Linked DNA regions of Tamandua tetradactyla. The protein of the gene in region 1 interacts with the protein of each later gene in a pairwise test. Links are inferred from orthologs where the notes say so. Each region holds a gene or a part of one and is shown in the gene's direction. Other genes may lie near its edges.

The links.
Region 2: the proteins of FBF1 (region 1) and ACCS interact in a two-hybrid assay, tested with the Homo sapiens proteins (2 studies listed by BioGRID and IntAct). The two-hybrid records come from large-scale screens. The link is inferred for Tamandua tetradactyla from reciprocal best matches to the Homo sapiens genes FBF1 and ACCS.

The regions. Positions count from the first base shown.
Region 1 is NC_135332.1:16,320,371-16,324,279, reverse strand, and holds the start of FBF1 (fas-binding factor 1), read left to right. Parts: upstream 1-1,273; 5' UTR 1,274-1,402; coding exon 1,403-1,495; intron 1,496-2,263; exon of another isoform or gene 2,264-2,267; coding exon 2,268-2,303; exon of another isoform or gene 2,304-2,390; coding exon of another isoform or gene 2,391-2,393; intron 2,394-2,816; coding exon 2,817-2,844; intron 2,845-3,574; coding exon 3,575-3,616; intron 3,617-3,909. UniProt on the Homo sapiens protein: Keratin-binding protein required for epithelial cell polarization. Involved in apical junction complex (AJC) assembly via its interaction with PARD3. Required for ciliogenesis.
Region 2 is NC_135334.1:120,682,861-120,686,769, forward strand, and holds the start of ACCS (1-aminocyclopropane-1-carboxylate synthase-like protein 1), read left to right. Parts: upstream 1-1,673; 5' UTR 1,674-1,808; intron 1,809-2,998; coding exon 2,999-3,289; intron 3,290-3,909. UniProt on the Homo sapiens protein: Does not catalyze the synthesis of 1-aminocyclopropane-1-carboxylate but is capable of catalyzing the deamination of L-vinylglycine.

The DNA.
Region 1 (3,909 bases):
TTTCTTTTTGCTTTTAAGTGGGCCGTTGATTGTCTTGGGAAAATCATGGAAAATTGGGGATCGTTTTAAGAATTCTGGGACGGAGGGACAGTGACTCAGCAAAGCAGGCAGAATTCTCGCCTGCCATTTCGGAGACTTGGGTTGAATTCCTGGTGCCTGCCCATGCGAAAAAAAATTTTGGACCAAAATAAAAAGTTGTTTGCTACACTACTGTTAATTGTTTCATAAATGGAGTATTTTTAGGTTGCAAATATGTGATCGTCCACATAATGCTCGGGCTTCTGACTTTTTTGGAAAAAGCGCCATCTTATTAACAACTGCTATGGATTCAGTGAGATGACTTGTATCATTTGGAGTGTATAAATACTTTGCAACCTTTTTTTCCTTTTACTGTTGCACTTTGAGTTTGGTTCCTACTTGAAACAAGATCTATTTAGCATGTATTGTTATCCAACCCAGGCTTGACATGTCACAGGGTGTGGGGTGGGGGTACGGGGCTAGCATGGGACCAGAGCATGTGAATCATGGTCAGGCAGTGATGACCTTCCAGCACCTCTTGACCCCTCGAGCCGGTAAGCCAACCACTAAGCTCCCTTTGTGAAACTGAATGACCCTTAATAAAAGTTGTAATTAGCACACTCAGGAAAAAGTGTATGTGTCTTTGTTGGTGGAGGGTTGTTGGGTTTCATTCTGGCTTCCCAGCTGTTTTTTGTTTGTTTGTTTGGTGATCATTCGGTTCTCCATATATAATCAGTAATTCACAATATCATCACATAGTTACACGTTCATCATCATGATCACTTCTTAGAACATTTGCGTCAATTCAGAAAAAGAAAAAGACCAGCTCTGGTTTTGTAATTGGACGACAAGATCATAGCCGCTTTGGGGTGTAGGATGGAACCGTTCGAAGTGAACGCATTTCTCGCAGTCCTCCTCAGACCTCGAAGAATGCTGGAGGAACTTCTTAAATGTTCTGTCTTTGAGCCCAGTCCCTGGAGGCCAAGAGAAACTTCGACCAGCCTTTGAGCCTGGTGTCACTCTTCACGACGTGGCGTGGACGTCGCTTCTCGCAACCTCCGGAGGTCCGGCGGCGCACTGGGAAGTGTAGTTCACCTCGGCGCCCCGCCCCCTGCCGCAGCGGCCAGTGGGCAGCAGACTACCACTCCCAGGATGCTCCGCGCCCCTTCCCGTCGGGCGAGTGGCGACGGCCGGGCCGGAGGTGGGGCTCGGAAGCGGGGCTCGGAAGCGGGGCTCGGAAGCGGGGCTCGGAAGCGGGGCTCGGAAGCGGGGCTCGGAAGCGGGGCTCGGAAGCGGGGCTCGGAAGCGGGGCTCGGAAGCGGGGCTCGAGAGGGGTCCGCGGCCATGGCTAGGAGAGACCTCAGGGGCTGCGCGTCCTAGAAGGATGGCGCGTAACCCCGGGGATTTCAGGGGCTGGGAGCATATAGGCTGCACTCGGTCGGGGGGACGCGGCGAGGGGCGCGGCCCGGGTCTGGAGGTGACTCCGGGGCGGGCCCTTGGTGGGGCGGGCTCGGGACTGGAAGAATGCCTGGCGTGGCGTGGCCCGCGTGGATGAGATAGCCGGTGTTGCCCCGCGGCCCTTTGGCCTTTGCAAACCGCTCTTAGGAAATTCCCGCGCTCTCCACGCTGGGGTAGAATCCTTGATTGGTTAGGAGATGGCGGGAGTTCCTTGAGGTGTTAGGAGACAGAACGCGTTTTGGACCTGCAGTTCGTGAAAATTGCCGTTACAGAGAATAAGAAGCACACTCAGATGGCCCCTGCAGTAACCCCTGGGAAACTCCGCGTCCTAATAGCAGGGCAGGCCAACGCCCGAGAACTAGAGATGGGCCTTTCAGACTCCTTTCCTCCAAGGCACGCCGAAAGTCGCTTTTAAATGAAGGAAAACTTCGCTATTAATGTGGTGTGTCAGATTTACACCTAGTGTGAAGGGAAACATTTCCACGGTCATAGAAAATCGTGTCAAGGAGTGACTAGAACTCACATCGTCTCCTCGTGCTGGGTGCTGCCAGAAAGTACAACTGAGTTTTGCCTGGAAGGGTCTGTTGGCCGTGGTGCCAGGCACCCACCTCCTTTCTGAAATGGGACCTACCATGCCCCAGATCCTCTAAGCTGCCACGCATATAAAGAATGCTTAATATATGGAAACAGATTTTGATTTCGAATGGGTGAAATGAGAGAAGACTTGATAGGCTTTGGACTCAAGTACTATTAAAGCTACTTTTTTTTTTTTTTTTTTTTGGCATAGGCAGGCACTGGAAATCGAACCCGGAACTCAGGCATGGCAGGCAAGAACTCTATCTGCTGAAATGGGGGGAATTCAAACGAACTGGACAGTGCGGTGAAGGAGCTGCCAGCAGCCCCAAAGCCCTGAGATGGTAGGGGAATACAATGAGGTGGATGGAAGTGTGAACCTGCATAGGGAGAAATCCTAATGCCATGGACTAGTTTGGGGGCTGGGTGAAGGGCCAGGATGTGGCCCCTGGAGGGGAGTGATGTGGGTTAACTTTGATGTCAAACTTCTTAGGCATATGCGAGGGTTTCCTCTGGGTCTCTGACTCTCTAGCTGGGAGGCAGGGCATGGAGGCAGATTGCTGTGGCCCTGTTCTGAATGAGTCCATTCGTGGAAATTCTAGGAAAGCATAAAAGACTTCTGTCTCTAAATGCCATTTGTGCCTCTTTCTCTGGTAACTTGGCAGAAGGCAAAACAATTCATTCTGCATTCCCAGCCATTTATTTCCTCAGTTTCAGCACTATTCACAGTTTGATTTTTTAATGTGATTTCTTTTACCCATTTTTAGGCAGCAAAAACCAAGAAAGGATTGAAAGGTAAGGGAAGAGAGAACACCACCCTTCAGCCATTATATATAACCCTTGCTCAGAAATAATTCAGACATGCTCGGGTCTGAACGTTGTTGATGAGACTCTTGCTATGTTTCCCATAATTCTTTAGGCAGCATGGGCTTCTTGAAGATAACTCCTTATGCTGCCTCGTTGGTCCTCAGAGTAATTCAGGAATAAATAAAGATGGGACTTTGGAAAAAATCCTTGGGGTCTGTATCCAGAAATATATGGTTAAGGTTAAGAGTGACAAAAAGCACTTAAGCTGGAAGCCAGAACTAATTCATTCAGCCTCTATCAGAAAGTGGCCAAGGAGGCATGCATTCAGCAGACCTGGGGGCTCTCGGATGGAAGGATCCAGAAGGCTTTTGATGTGAAAGGAGCCATTATGAGCCCTGAAAGTCTGGATACTTTCTCCACAGAACCATACTGGGCTCTGTTCAGAGTGTGGGGTGGGAATTTTGCCCAGGGTGTCGGGTGTGGCACACACCATGTAGGTTGCGCTGAAAATCTTTACTATCCTTTGAGAAAGTTACTTTCAGTTTCCACTCTGTGTTCCTTCAACAGTGCATTGTGACTTGTTGCCAGCGAGTTAGAAAACATCTTATGGCCTGTAGGAGGAATGCTAAGTCTGAGTCCCCTTATCTGAGAGTTCTGAGACCCTGGGATGAGGCTCTCGTTTCCTCCTGAATCCATGATGCTTCCTTTTCTGTTCCAGGCTCCATTGATGATGTCCTTGATGACCTCTTGGGGGAAGACAGTAAGTGCCCCCTTCCCCAGAATCCCCTGGTTTAGGCTTGCTTTTTTTTTTAATTGCGATATAATTCACATACCATAAAATTCACTCCTTTAAAGTGTACAAATCAGTGGTTGTTAATGTATTCACAGGGTTTTGGAACCATCACCACCAGAACATTTTCATTACTCCTAAAAGAAACTATATCATTAGCAGCCATTCCTCAATTTCCCTGCGTCCAGCCTTAGGCAAACACTCATTCATTTTATATGCTATTCATATAAAATGAAATCATACAATATGTGGTCTTTTGTGTC
Region 2 (3,909 bases), on another chromosome or scaffold:
ATGATCAGACACTTATCTGAAACAGTAGGAAAAATTGCCGAATCTGCTGCAAAAGCTATTGCTGCACAACAAAAATCACTGGGTTCTTAAGATAAAAGTGTTTTAGACAAAGTGTTGTGTTTGAGTGCTTGCTGGCTGAGCAATGGGTTGAGTCTGTTTTCACTACTACCCATGGAACCTGGATAAACACTTCTGGGGAAGTCCAAACCCAGTCACAGGAAACAGTCAAACAAGCCTTATGACTCAGTAAGTTATTCTGCAACTTCAGTTTTTGATCTCTTTGACTTGTTGGTTTGGGTCCTGGACTCAGAGGTATACTCCAAAGTCTAGGCATTTGACTATTCATAGAAATCATAAAAATAACCTCCTTGGGATTCTATCCTCTCAAATGTTCAGCACCGTAGATTGGAAACTTGATTATATCATCTCCAAGAAGATGAGACTCCTGCAATTGTGGGTATTAACCTTTGATTAGAGGGAGATGTGACTTCACCCAGTCCAGGTGGGTCTTGATTAGTTTACAGGAATCCTTTAAAAGAAGAAACATTTTGGAGCCAGCCATGAGAGCCCACACAGCCAGAGACCTTTGGAGTTGAAGAAGGAAAACGCTCCTGCAGCGTGAAACAAGAGCCTGGGGAGAAAGCTAGCACACATGGCCGTGTTCCCCATGTGCATTTCCAACAGAGAGAGAGAGAGAGAGACCCTGAATGTCATCCGCCTTCTTGAACCAAGGTATTATTCCCTGGATACCTTAAATTGGACATTTCTAGAGCCTTGCTTTAGTTATGTCATTTTCATAGCTTTAGAACTGTAAACTTGCAACTTAATAAATTCCCCTTTTTAAAAGCTATTCTGTTTCTGGTATATCACATTCTGGCAGCTTGCAAAACAGAAAAAGGGGGTTCAAGGTTTTTAAGGATTTTTAGCAAGGGGGGATGAGGTCACTTGAATAGCAAGTTGAAGTGGAAGGGAGACTGTTATTATCATTTCAATAGGAGAACAGGAGCTGAAAGGAGGGGAGGCAGAGCTATCACTTCAGGACTAAAGGTGCAAGCCAAAAGGCTGGGAGCTGAGTTACTTTTCAATGGCAGAGGCTGGCTGATGTAATTTACAAACGCTGGGGGCTGAAGCTACTTAATGGCTGACTTCAAATTCTTCATTAGCATTAGAGCCTTTGTCCACCTAAAAGGAGTAACAACTCTTACAGCCACAACGGCACAAGGTAAGGGTTTTTACAATCACTTCAGGTATCAGGAGAGCTGAATTATAGTTTAGGGATTTCACGTATTCCCCTCTATCTACTCCAACATCCCTGAAAGCAAAAAGGAATATGATTCAGTCATCAAAAGCATTCCTTAAATCCTAATTCATCCGTTACACCTGCATCTGGAAAGGCTTCATACGGGGAGCAGCCAGGCAGACATTAGCAGAATCTCCTCTTTGGCTGTCACCGCCTCTGGAAATTGGGGGCTGAGGCCAGGAGGCAGAGGGAAGCACCCCCACGTGCGGGCTGGGGCACGGCCAGGCCGCCCTGGCCCCTTCAGGTTCCAGAGACCCGGCAGGGCAGCCCCTGCGCCCTGGGGCGGGAGCGGGAGGGGCGCCACGTCAGGCCCTTCTCCAGGAGCGCGGGCCTCCAGGCCCCTTCCCCTTCCCCGGCTCCTCCTCCAGGCCCCGCAGGCCTCCGCAGGCACGGGAAGGCGCCTCGGCCTCGGCCACGAGCCCCTGAGAGGCCGGCTCCCCGGCTCCCCGCCTCCGCGCAGCGAACGAAGCGGACCTTTCTGTGCGGCTCCGCCGAGGCCACCAAGTAGGTGCGGAGCCCCCACCCTGGGGCGCAGCGGGCCGGCGGGGCCGCTCTTCGGGCCCGGCCCGGGGCTGCCTTGGGGTCTCGGCCGCTCCGTCTCCAAGCCCTTCGCCTCCTCTTCCGGAAGCGGCAGCGGCCCCTCGCGGGGCGCGCCCTGCTCGTTCTCTTTCCCCCGCTCCCCGCTCCCGCTCGGCGCCAAGCCCGGACGGGCGCCCCAGCCGCGGCCTCTGCGCCCCCCGCGCCCCCCGTCCCGCCCGCGCCGCGCTGCGAGGGCTGTGCCGTCCCGAAACCCGGCGTGGCCGTAGGGGCGGAGGCGAGCGCTCGGCGAGCCCAGCCATTCGGGGTGACCCGGAGAGGACTCCCTGTCGCGGAAGTGCGCGCGCGCCTCTCCCGGCTTCCCGCGCCGGCGTTCCGGGTGCGCGGGCTTGTGCGTCGGGCGGTGCCGGGCAAACCCGCGAAGAGCGTGGGTATAATAGCACAGGCTGATTTTTGAACTTTGACCCTGAGCCAGAATTTGTTCTAAGCTCATTATCTATGTTAACGTCTGTATTTCTGTCCTCACAGTTCCCCTAGGCGGGTAGTTACAGCTGTATATGCAGAACAGACTCAGAGAAGCCAAGGGGCTCAGGTCTACCGGCGGTAGGCCACCTCACCTGGTACCCACCCTGGGGCTCCGCCTGGTGCCCTTCCAGGGGCCCCACCCCCCACCCCATTCCTCCCTCTCCCCAGGCCCCACCCGCCCCGCTCCAGAACACCAGATACTTCATCCTGCCCTTTACCCTAATTGCCATCTGCCTCTAGGCCTCTCCCACTCCCGGTCAGTGACCTTTAACCTGGCTTTTGGAAATAGAAGTCAGCAGGGGTGGAAAGAACATCAGTGACCCCTAGACTGCAGAATGAAAAACTTGTGCAAAAGTGAAACCAACTAAAGCAGTAGTAACTTAAAGTCATGCAAACATAGCAAGCCAGTCCCCTGGCACATAATAGGTCTTTAGCAGATTTTATTTGTTTTGAGTGTTTGTCTGCACAGATGGTCACAACCAGTAAGGAACACAGGGAGCCGTGAGTACTTAAAGGAAGTCACAGATAGAGAAGGCGGCAGTCCAGCGACTTCCAACTCATTTTGATGCTTGGTGCTGTGGGGAGCACCCAGTCAGGCCTTGAATCTTTTGCAGTGAGTGCTTCTTCTTTTTGTAGATGTTCACCCACCCTAAGAAGGAATCCAGGGGACTTCCCACCTGCCCCAGTCCAGCTCCCACACAGGATGTGGGCAGTAGCTGCGGGAGTGGTCTGGACGAAGAATGCTCCCGGAAAGCAGACCAGAAGCCTTTGGAGCTGTATGGAGTGGGCGAGCTCCCCGCTGTGTTCTCCTCTGACAGCCCCTACTTGTCCTCTCGAGGAAGAATCGTTAAATGGTTCTGGGACTCTGCTGAGGAGGGCTACCGGACCTACCATATGGATGAATACGACGAAGTCAAGAACCCCACTGTGAGTAGACACCCCCACACAGGGAGCCAGGAGATGAGTGCATGGCAGGGTGCCTTCCCTCAGCCAGTAGGGCAGACCCCAGCTTGCTCCTGTCAGGTTGGCATTGTGGCTTTCTGACTTCCTAGAGGACCTCTGATGTAGTTCAGAGAGCCCCAGTTTTTTGCCTGGATCAGAAAATAGCCCGTTTATAATTAAAGGGATCCTCACTTGTGAGTGAGGGATTTGAGAACCATCAAATGACTTATATAGAGTCTCACCCACGGCCAGGTAACTATGCAAGTTTGGAGCTGGGACAGAACTAGAGTTGAGGCTGCAACTCTGTCTTTTGGGTTGTGTATTGTTGAGCTAATTGCTTAACCTCTTTGAACCTTGGTTCATTTGTAAAATGGGACTAACGATACCTGCTTCATGGAATAGTCCAGATTAAATGAGATCAACTAGATAAAGTTATAGCACAATACTTGGCCCATAGTATGCTCAATAAATGATAGGTACCTTATGATTAATCTTATCCACTTTGATTATTATTATTAGTTATTGTTAATAATACTTCCAGAGGCCAGAGCAGTCACAAATAACCTTTAATAATATTTATTTGTTGAGCATCTCACAATAGCCAA